Linked DNA regions of Zea mays. The protein of the gene in region 2 binds, or shares a complex with, the protein of the main gene of each other region. Links are inferred from orthologs where the notes say so. Each region holds a gene or a part of one and is shown on either strand. Other genes may lie near its edges.

Region 1 (5,158 bases), on a different chromosome or scaffold from region 2:
TTTCCCATGCCACCAATGATTGTAATGTTTTTCGTCGAAAGATACAATCGGCCGTAAATGAGGGTCGATTGAGTTTTCATTAGTTGCAAGTGGACACGTAATCATTTGCTATCAATATAATAGAGCTAGCAAGCAAAAAGGTATTGGTTCGGCCGGAAGTGGTCGATAAAGGCAAATGCAAAAACGTCGTCATTGGCGATCCTCGCACGTCGAATATATCACAAGAAGGGATTGCTCGGAAATCTCTGGATAGAAATACTAACAAGTATGGAGGCACCAGGGGCTGGTTCAATCGAGCACTCGAGTAAAGCTCCCTGACTCGAACATTGCAGACTGTCCGTCACCTGCGCGCGGACGACCCGGTGCTCATGCAGACGGTCCGGCTGACTCAGTCGGATAGTCCGCCCATGGCCAGAGGTGTCAGCCTCCACAAAAAGCAAAGGGGATGCAAGGGCAAACCACATGTAACGCACATGGTCGGCTGGTCAAAACCGACTCTAATTTAATCAATTGCTATCCAAATACGCTAGCAAGAAGGGTGTTCTACGCGATCGGCCAACAAAGAAACCCTAGTCATCCGCTAAAACATAACGGTCGAATAAAACGACCCAAAAGGCGGCGCAACAATCATTGCCTATTCATCCATCTCTAGTGATGTCAGGATACTTTCCACCCGCCTACTCATCGTTGATATGTTATCCTGTGACGATGAACCCATGGTACATACATAGTCCTTTGCCTATTCAGGCTGGGAGCTCCTCCATTCCATACCTTTTGATCCATTGATCGGATGGTCATGGCCGAGAGAGATGCAATCTGAAACGTCCTTTATACATTAGAGTTATATTGAATGATCACCCTATTAGGTCGAAGAGCCGGTGACTTGCATCAGGCTTAGTGCATATGCTTTTGGTTCGTCAACCTTCACCAAAAGGAAGGGGGCATATGTTGAATAGCAAAAATGACACCCGGACCGTCCGCCCTAGGGCCGGATGGTCCGCGGTCCGAACTATCCACGGTGGCGACACAGACGGTCTACACGTACGCAGAATCAGATAGGGTTCCGAATTTCTAGCGGGATTTGTTAGCAAAGCATGTAGGAATAACTTGATGACCGACTTGTAACAGGTCTAGACCTCCACCTTTTATCTGGATGAAGGGGTACAACCGATTGAACCTCTCACAATCGATCCAATCAAATCTACTTATCAATTACCTTATTTGCATCATTCTTCTAATTCCTAGGAGTAGGAGTAATTTTGCCTTAGGTTTAGATCTAGTTTAGTCTTCCACAACAACCTCTTCTTTGACTCTACGCCGATTAGAGGAGCACCAGGCGGCCTGCCGACCCAGAGCACGCCTTGGAACTCTCCCCCTCGATGGGATCTCTCCCGTGGCGAGTTCTAGGATTCTCCACGGAGATGAAGACCCTCTCCACCACTGCGGACCGTCCGGCCCTAGGCGCGGACACATCCGAAAGCCTGCATAGGAGGATCCGCTCTTGTGCCCTGTGCCGCGGACCGTTCGCGCCTCCGTAGAGAGCACACCGCGCAGGTGGTTCGTTTCAGTGGTTGGCATCCAGATCGGCGCCAACAGGGTGATTTGGTTGTGTGAATTTTACAACGTTTAAACTGATGGGTGTATAGATATAGATATAGATTTTAAAAAACAAAAGAAATAAAAAAATGCCCAACGGGGAAGGTAGTATTTGGTCTGTACTGTTTCCTTGCGTGATGGACATGGACTCTCACACTTGACATCCGTTATGGGTCGCAGCCCATGCACAGCCCAGGTTCGCGGTCCATCTGTCTTGTGTTTCTCCTTCCTCATTCCTCAGCTCGAGCTCCTCGACGGCTCGCCAGTCTGCCGCCGCGCACGGCGCATCTGTTCCTTCTGCTCTGCGACGGCGAGCCTCTCCCCTCCCTCCGTGCTCGTATCGTAGCCTATTTTCGCCGCCGCAGCTTGCCCAGTGCTGTTATCTTGTGTTCGGCACCGCGTCAAAGGCTGACCCTCTCCAGGCGCCTGGTAGATCGCCCAGACTCAACCGGGTAAGCCTTACCGCGCACGCCACCATGGCCGAGCCCTCGCCGCCTCCGGTGTCGAACGCTGGCCTCCGTATCCTCCTGTCGAAGGACCGGCCGGCTCCCTCCCCTCCACCCACCGCCGCTGTCTCCAGCCACGCCGACCGCGACCGCATCATCGTGAGCTAAAACTCCCTCCCACTCTGTTCATGAACCCTAGCGCGGTCAATCAGTCATAGTAGAAACTTGAAACTTTGTCCCTGATTTGGGTGGCACGAAGGGTCCCGTCTTCGTCCATTTCCCGCGAGTGGTACTGTGCTAGTGCTAGTGCTAGTGCTGGTGGACTCCCATCCAGTGCCTCCACACGGTTGCAATTTGTTTCATGCATCACGTTTCTTTCTGTTTCGACTTTCGATCGCAAATTTTTTTTTTGAAAGGAACTTTCGATCGCAAAATCACCATGGAACTTCCATAGAGGCGTTGGAAAAACCGTTGGTAGCGGCCTAATTAGGGGTTGTGTGAGAGGATGGAGAAGGAACATTGGAAATTTAGGGGAGTTGTTTCTCCATGCTACCACACGTGTACGCTTGGTGAAATGTGGCCTTTGCTCTTTTCAGGGAGTTTTCAGGAGCGCGTTGTCTAGGAACGAACCCCCGGAAACATTTTCCCTTCAGACGGTTCAGGAAGCAATTAAACCTCAGGTATGTACGTTGAATCTGGCATGCTTGTGAGTCTTGATTTGATGATGAACCGTCAGTGGTTCATGTTATTATTTTCCTCTATTTTATTTGCTTGTGTTTTGGGTAATACCTATCTGATTCGACTTGTCTTTTAGTTCAGTTAATCATCTGATTTGACACACATATCTCATTTCACAGAAGGAAACCGTGTTGGTTCTAGAGGAGAATCAGTCCTTGGAAAATGCTCTTCGAACTTTGCTGCAGGAGCTTGTGGTAACTTTCCATGTGGCTACACTGTTCTTTGATCTCACTTGATGATAAGGTGGTTAGGGAGTGTTGTTGGCGCGTGCATTGTTCTGGTCACTGCATCGTTAGGAATACTATGTTTCAGAGTAGCAGAGTTTTAATGACGATTTCTAAAATAAAACGGAAGACGTGGCTGTATTTTTTTTATTTCAGTCCTAGAAAATTACATTGATTGCTGATTCTGTTTTATATGAAAAGTGCAGGTCAGCAGGTGTATAGTTCATTTGCCATCTTAGGAACCAAAATTGATTGCTGATTCTGTTTTATATTTTTTATTCTTAGTCATCTGCGGTCCAATCGGATAAAAAGATTATGCAGTACGGGAATTCTTTGGATAGCGGAGAAAGTAACTGCCTGATAACTCGCCTTCTTGGTCAGTTACACTTCTTCCAACATTCTATGTTCGAATCTGTTCCTATCTAAGGACTTATGCCATCACCTTCTGAGCACTATTTGGTGCATGTGTAGTATTATTTTCTGTTCTGAGAAACCAATGCTCTTCCATGATAGATATTGTGCTTTACCTTTGCGAAAGAGGGCATGTTGAAGGTGGTATGGTATTCCAGCTGTTAGAAGACCTAACTGAAATGTCAACAATCAAAGACTGCAAAGATATCTTTGGGTATATTGAGAGCCAGCAAGATGTATTGGGGAAGGTAATTTTGATCCCTATTTCGTTTGGTTAGTTCTGGTTAAATAGAGAAGATGCATGCTTGTAACGTTGTTGACTGATTATCGTTTTGGGTTGTTTGTAGCAAGAACTTTTTGGACGTGGCAAACTAGTTATGCTAAGGACTTGCAACCAACTTCTTCGCAGACTATCGAAGGTTAGATTCAGTTGTTCTGCTGTGCCCACCCTTTGAAGTTTATAAATTATATTTGCTGTTGTTCCCACATTTCAGCTTGGCTAAATGGCTATTTTGTTGGCCAGCTGATTTACCTTAGTTAATCTCGTATGTAAAAAAAAATCCCCTACCCTAACCCCCCAAAAAAGACCTGATATGAACTATGTGGCATTGCCAGTACGAAGAAATGGACACCCAAATTGAAAGTTAAAGAGGACATGAACCTGCACCTTGCGCACCAACTGAGATCGGCTCAGTTCCTAGTAACCTTGTCTATTAAACGGATTAATCAAAAACTGAACTGCAAAGTGTGTTAAGTATTGCTGATAATCTTGGCTATAATCTAAATGGTTGATTGTACTGTATCACCAAAATCTTGAACCTCATGAACCCATGGTTCTTTTAACCTACCGAACACCTTCAATTATCACCCTTCGAATGTATTGGAGACTTGGAGTTTTCCAGCACTTCTTTTTGGCTGGAGAGAAATGCACCACTGGTCTTTTAACTTGTCCTACCGTGTCATTTAAAAAACTCGGCCGGGGAGGGAAAGACCGCCCTCCCGGTATTCCATATAAGAAGTGTCAACGAGTCTATCCAGTTGTAACAGCTAGGACCGAGTCTCTTGTTCATGTAACGGCCTCTGCCGATTCTCTAGGTGCATGGCCGATCAGCTGTGATCCGTTAGGTTCGGCCACCGCCTTCTGTACGTGTATAAATAGATCACTTGAGATTAATACAAGTTATGCGTTGATCCAATTCACCTCTTTCATGGTATCATTCACCAGGCCCCAGTGACTTCAGCTCACCGCTGCTCTCACTTTCTTCAACCTCTCGATCCCTCCTCTGCCCCTCTTCCACACGCCATGGACGGCCATTCTTCCTCCTCTGACTCCGACACCTTTGTTCCTGAACAACCAACACCCGAAGACACGCAGGTCGTCGTAGGATGGCGGCGTGCCGAAAAGGAGCTGGTGGGGAGTTGTGGAGCCAGTAGCGCGGCATGGACGCCGATTGAGGAGAAACGTGGCAGTGGAGAGTGCCTCGGCCCAGAACGCTAAAGGAGCTGCACAATGAAGAAGGAGGGTACGCAGGCAATTGTTGATAGTGCGTAGTATGCGTTCGGCTTTCCCATTCTGTTGGGATGTGTAGGGACAGGAGAGGCGAAGTTGTGTGCCATGAGCGGCAAAGAAGGTGCACATAGCATAGGAGTCGAACTCTTTGTCGTTGTCAGTCTGGACAGCGAGAATAGGCAAGCGGAATTGGGTATGAACGTAGGCAAAGAACGTACGGAGGACGTAGGGGA
Region 2 (4,786 bases):
ACGTTTCACGATGCCCCTCTTTCTCACACAATATGATATAAATTGCTATTGGCTCTCTCTTCCACGTTTGCTAGCTTAGAGCTTGTACTAGCTCATATTGTTGGAGATGCCCTTAGACTTTGTGGTTAGGGACACAGATGACTATGTGAGTTAATATGATTTGCATGTGATTGAAGGTCTTGGTATCTATAAACATCCTTATCACGCTTGGTAAAAGGGAATGGAAGGACTGGTATTCACATGCGTACTGGGTCTGGAAAAGTATCCGGCATGTACAGGCGCAATAGCTATTTGCATGCAGTTGCATGCGTTGTTTCCTGTTTACGTGCACCCACTCTTCCTGTAATCCTGTATGCAGTTATTGTAACTCCTTGTTTACCCAGTCAGCGGTGTGCAGGCGGGAATCTGGTCATTGTGGGAGCATGCGTGTTGCAATAAGCATGGCGACACATGCATGCAGTTATATTGTGTGGCATGCAAGCTGGCAACTGCTTGAAACTGAAGCGTTTTTGCGGCTGTGAGGTCCTGGTGAAAATTGTTTAAGCGCCTGTGAACACAAGATGTAGGGAATATGTCACAGCTATGTGTCCTTGCAAAGTTGTGTTTATCTGTTCTGTGTTTCTCTATTCTTGTTTTTATGTAGAGAATCAATGATGTCCTCATAAGAACCTATGATTGATGGTACAGTCTCTATAAATTCTTTCTTTAGGTTACCGTGTTGAGGTTGGTGGCTTGGTGCTTTGGGACATTTAACGTAAACCAAACAGCTTGTGTTTAGTGTTGCTGCATAGCAATCTTTTCCTGTAGGTTGTGGTCTATTTTAATATTCCTAACTGATAACAGCATTCTTGTAGTGCATAGTTGCTTAATTATTCATCTTTTTAAACCAGAGTCTAGAGATAAGTAATCTTTTGTCCATTGCTGGATCTTCTGTTCTTAAAGCTTCATGGCAGGCTTGGAAATTAGTGTGTCTCATATGTATCTTGTAGCAGGCACTCTTTCAAGTGGCGACAACAGAATGGATGATGATGTGATTGATGATGAAGAAGATGCTCAGAGAAGAAGATCAAGATCCAAAAAGAATGTGGTGAAGGAAGCTAATAATCCAGCAGTGGCCTATCAACTTCACCCACTTAAAATTATACTTCATGTATATGATACTGAAGATTCTGGTAGCAAACGCCGTAAACTCATCACCCTGAGGTTTGAATACTTGGCAAAGTTGAATGTTGTTTGTGTCGGAATTGAAGATTCAGAGGGTCTGGACAGTAATATCTTGTCCAACCTATTTCCAGATGACACTGGTTTAGATCTGCCTCACCAGGTATGTAATTTAATTCGAAGCAGATGGTTTTGATTGCTAGTTACACCATCCTTATGGAAGTTTTGGTGTTTGTTTATGTACCTACCTGTTTTTGGTTTATTTCAGCCTCACAGGCCTTTAATGTGATTTTAGCAGGGATATGTTTTGTTACTACATCTGTATCTAGTATCTTCTTGGGGCCTCTCATTTACGTCAGCTGAAATAGTGACTTGTCAATTTTCTCAGATGGCTAAGATTTATGTTGGGGAGGTTCCAAACTTCAGCGACAAGGATTCAAGGCCATACAAGTGGGCACAACATTTAGGTGGTATCGACTTTTTGCCTGAAGTGCCTCCATCTGTTGGGGATGATTCTAGCAGAGCATTAAACACTGCTGATTTGTCATCTGGGCTTGCTCTGTACCGTCAGCAGAACCGTGCACAGACTATTTTGCAGAGGATCCGCTTGCGGAAAGTTGCACAGATGGCTCTTATGTGAGTCACTGGTCTATGTTTTTTGCTGTTTGGGACATCGATGAAAAAAACCGGATGGCAGATTAGCCTGAGAGTGACCGTGTAATTTGACTGACGATTTTGAGCTAATGATGCTTTTGCTTCATTGCACATGTCATTCTGAGTTATGGCAATACTATGAATCATTTACCAGGCAGAAATTGTGAAACATACCATTTATATCTTCTTCATATGTTCTCTACATATTGATTCAAAGCTAATTATTGGCGACCTTCATTATAATGTTATTCATGACTGTTATATACATGGCCTGTTTGATTGGTAGCATCCCTTTGAAGTTTTCGAGTCTCTTTGATTACAGGTGGCAACTTGATTATTTGACAAAGCTGAAGTGGCCTCGAATAGAACATAAGAATGCACCATGGGCATCACGCAACCCACTGTGCAGTCTACATAGTTGGTCATTGACAAGTTATCCTGAGTCATCTCGTTCTATTTTGATGCTAAGTGGTGCTGCAAGCAATGTTGACAGTGATGTAGAGAGATCTGTGACAAACTGGGAAGAAACTGAGAGTATCAGGGAGGATGGGGAGCTTCCAGTTGTTATTCCTGCTGAGAATGAGCCAAATGGTTCTACAATTTTGCAACCTGAGGTGTCAGCTGAGATCCGGAGCCATTCTAGAGGCTTATCTCTTATATCAAAGAGTGCAACACCATCTAAGCTAAGCATCTCACGAAGTTTTGGTAGAAATGAGGACGATCTTGATCTCTTGATGTATAGCGACAGCGAGTTGGAGGACCAGCCCTGCATTCTTGACGAAACTGAAAAAGCTACTAGCCCGATTAGAGACAGATTCTGGGAGGAGTATGCTTCCAAGGAATTCACCATGGTCCTGAGTAAAACTATGAAGAATGGTCTAAAAGTCATGCTGGAAGCCAAGGTAAACTATGTCATCACTATTTGTTCTAAGCCTTCATGCATCTCTCCATGCTCTTGCTTCTGACATTAAGACTTATCACAGGTTAAGATAAGTATGGAGTATCCTCTTAGACCTCCCCTTTTCAGATTACGTTTGCTCTCAGAAAAGTCTGAAATTTTGAAGTGGCACAATGATCTTCGTGCAATGGAAGCTGAGGTTTGTGCTAACATATCGTGTAACATGTTTTATTTAGTGCATTTCTGAGGGTAGCTCTTAAAGCTCACTATCATGCTGTGCAGGTAAATCTTCACATCCTTCGAAGCATACCTCTATCATATGAGGATTATATATTGACTCACCAAGTTATGTGCCTGGCTATGCTGTTTGACATGCATTTTGATGAGGAAAACGAGAAAAGAAAAGTCACTTCAGTGATCGATGTTGGTCTTTGCAAACCTGTTAGTGGAACTATGCTTACTAGATCGGTTAGGGGTAGAGACAGAAGGCAAACTATTTATTGGAGAGGTGCTGATTGCTCTTCCAGTTACTTGTAGAGTATGTGCGATCTTGATTGGTCTTGGTTGAGTTCAGCATTGACTACCCTCTGGAGAAATCATTTCTGGGCATTGGAGAACTGCATATATAACTTAAGAGCTGACACAGATCCCCTTGTTTATCACTACTGTGTCTTGACAGCAATAGCTGGGAAGATTTCTCTGTGCCCATACTGACTCGAGAAACTATTTACAATGCTGATGGTAACTACACTTTTATATGCCCAGGAAGAAAAGCTATAGGTGCAGTTAATCACCACAAGGCTTTTACTGCATGAATATTGTGCTATATGTTTCAAGAAGCCTTTCTGCTAGTTCCTATTTTCTTGGTTGTTCAAATTGGTATCCTGGATCTACCCAGAACATTTCCAACCGCAGTTAAATCCTGGAAGCTTGCAGCATTCTTTTGCAATAAACAGAGCTTGCTTACCCGGATGAAGATGTTGGAGGACCCAGCTTTTAACCAACCTTAGTTATCTCAATCGCCTATGGTTGGCCGACAGCTATGAGGTAAATGGCTTACGGTATCAATCATTTGTTAATTCTACATTTGAGTAACGCTGTGGGTGCAGTAGCTTTTGCTCTTCCAAAAACACTGGACAGAAAGATGAGATTTATGTCCCACATGATGCAAGTAATCGTTTGAATGTAATTTGCGTTTTCCAGCCATGGGAATGTCTGAACGTATGGAGGAAGTAACTCAGCAGCATGGTGCTATCAAAAGTTACTATCAAAAGTAGAAAATAATATATATATATATATATATATATATATATATATATATATATATATATATATATATATATATATATATTAAAAAATATATAACGACCAATTCAATTTTCTGTCCAAATATAAGCATATATAGGAAGTTAGTGAAGAAGTCATAAATAAATACAACGGTGTTACTACGCGTTATCCTTTGTAGAGGCTGTCGAAGTAGAGGCAGAAGTGCTTGAACTGAAGCGCGTTGTCGTCGTATGGCACCCTCGGCACCATGTCGTTGCAGTACACGAACCTGAAGTACCTGCTGGGCTTGCCGAGATACGCGTCCGTGAAGCTCCCGAAGACCCGAACGCCTCGTCCCCTGGCGAACATTATCAATTTTGCTATTATTATTTGTAGGCTTCCCTATAATGTCATCGAACCCACAAATTATAGAAACAGATGGTCTCATCAGTTATAAATACATGATGTTATACCAAAATTGAGAGCGACAAGACAGGGACTCAAATGCATGTTTCCATACTTAGAGCCTGTTTGGTTTGTAGCTAAATGTGCCACACTTTGCCTAAGGTTAGTCGTTCGAATTGAATAACTAACCTTAGGCAGAAAAGTTAGGCAAAGTGTGGCAACTGAGGTAGTGAACCAAACAGGCCCTTAGTCTCGCTGTATTGAGCTGTTCTTTGCTCGGCTCATTTTGGTTTTCGGAACCTAAACTGATGGGAAAAGGGGGTATATAATAGGAAAATAAAAGAAGAGGATAAAGGGCATGCAGCTATCATATTCAGAATAACCATCTATAAAGAAGTCTTC

The links.
Region 1: THO complex subunit 5B-like (region 2) and THO complex subunit 1-like share a complex: the UniProt entries of both Arabidopsis thaliana proteins name them as parts of the THO complex. The link is inferred for Zea mays from reciprocal best matches to the Arabidopsis thaliana genes THO5 and THO1.

What each region holds. Positions count from the first base shown.
Region 1 is NC_050096.1:2,948,848-2,954,005, forward strand, and holds the start of THO complex subunit 1-like, read left to right. Parts: upstream 1-1,805; 5' UTR 1,806-2,072; coding exon 2,073-2,201; intron 2,202-2,638; coding exon 2,639-2,722; intron 2,723-2,899; coding exon 2,900-2,974; intron 2,975-3,289; coding exon 3,290-3,380; intron 3,381-3,517; coding exon 3,518-3,663; intron 3,664-3,762; coding exon 3,763-3,834; intron 3,835-5,158. UniProt on the Arabidopsis thaliana protein: Acts as a component of the THO subcomplex of the TREX complex which is thought to couple mRNA transcription, processing and nuclear export. Contributes to the integrity of the endogenous trans-acting small interfering RNA (ta-siRNA) pathway.
Region 2 is NC_050100.1:218,468,561-218,473,346, forward strand, and holds the end of THO complex subunit 5B-like, read left to right. Parts: intron 1-989; coding exon of another isoform or gene 990-992; coding exon 993-1,324; intron 1,325-1,459; coding exon of another isoform or gene 1,460-1,549; coding exon 1,550-1,797; intron 1,798-2,137; coding exon 2,138-2,717; intron 2,718-2,798; coding exon 2,799-2,912; intron 2,913-2,995; coding exon 2,996-3,250; 3' UTR 3,251-3,969; downstream 3,970-4,786. UniProt on the Arabidopsis thaliana protein: Acts as a component of the THO subcomplex of the TREX complex which is thought to couple mRNA transcription, processing and nuclear export.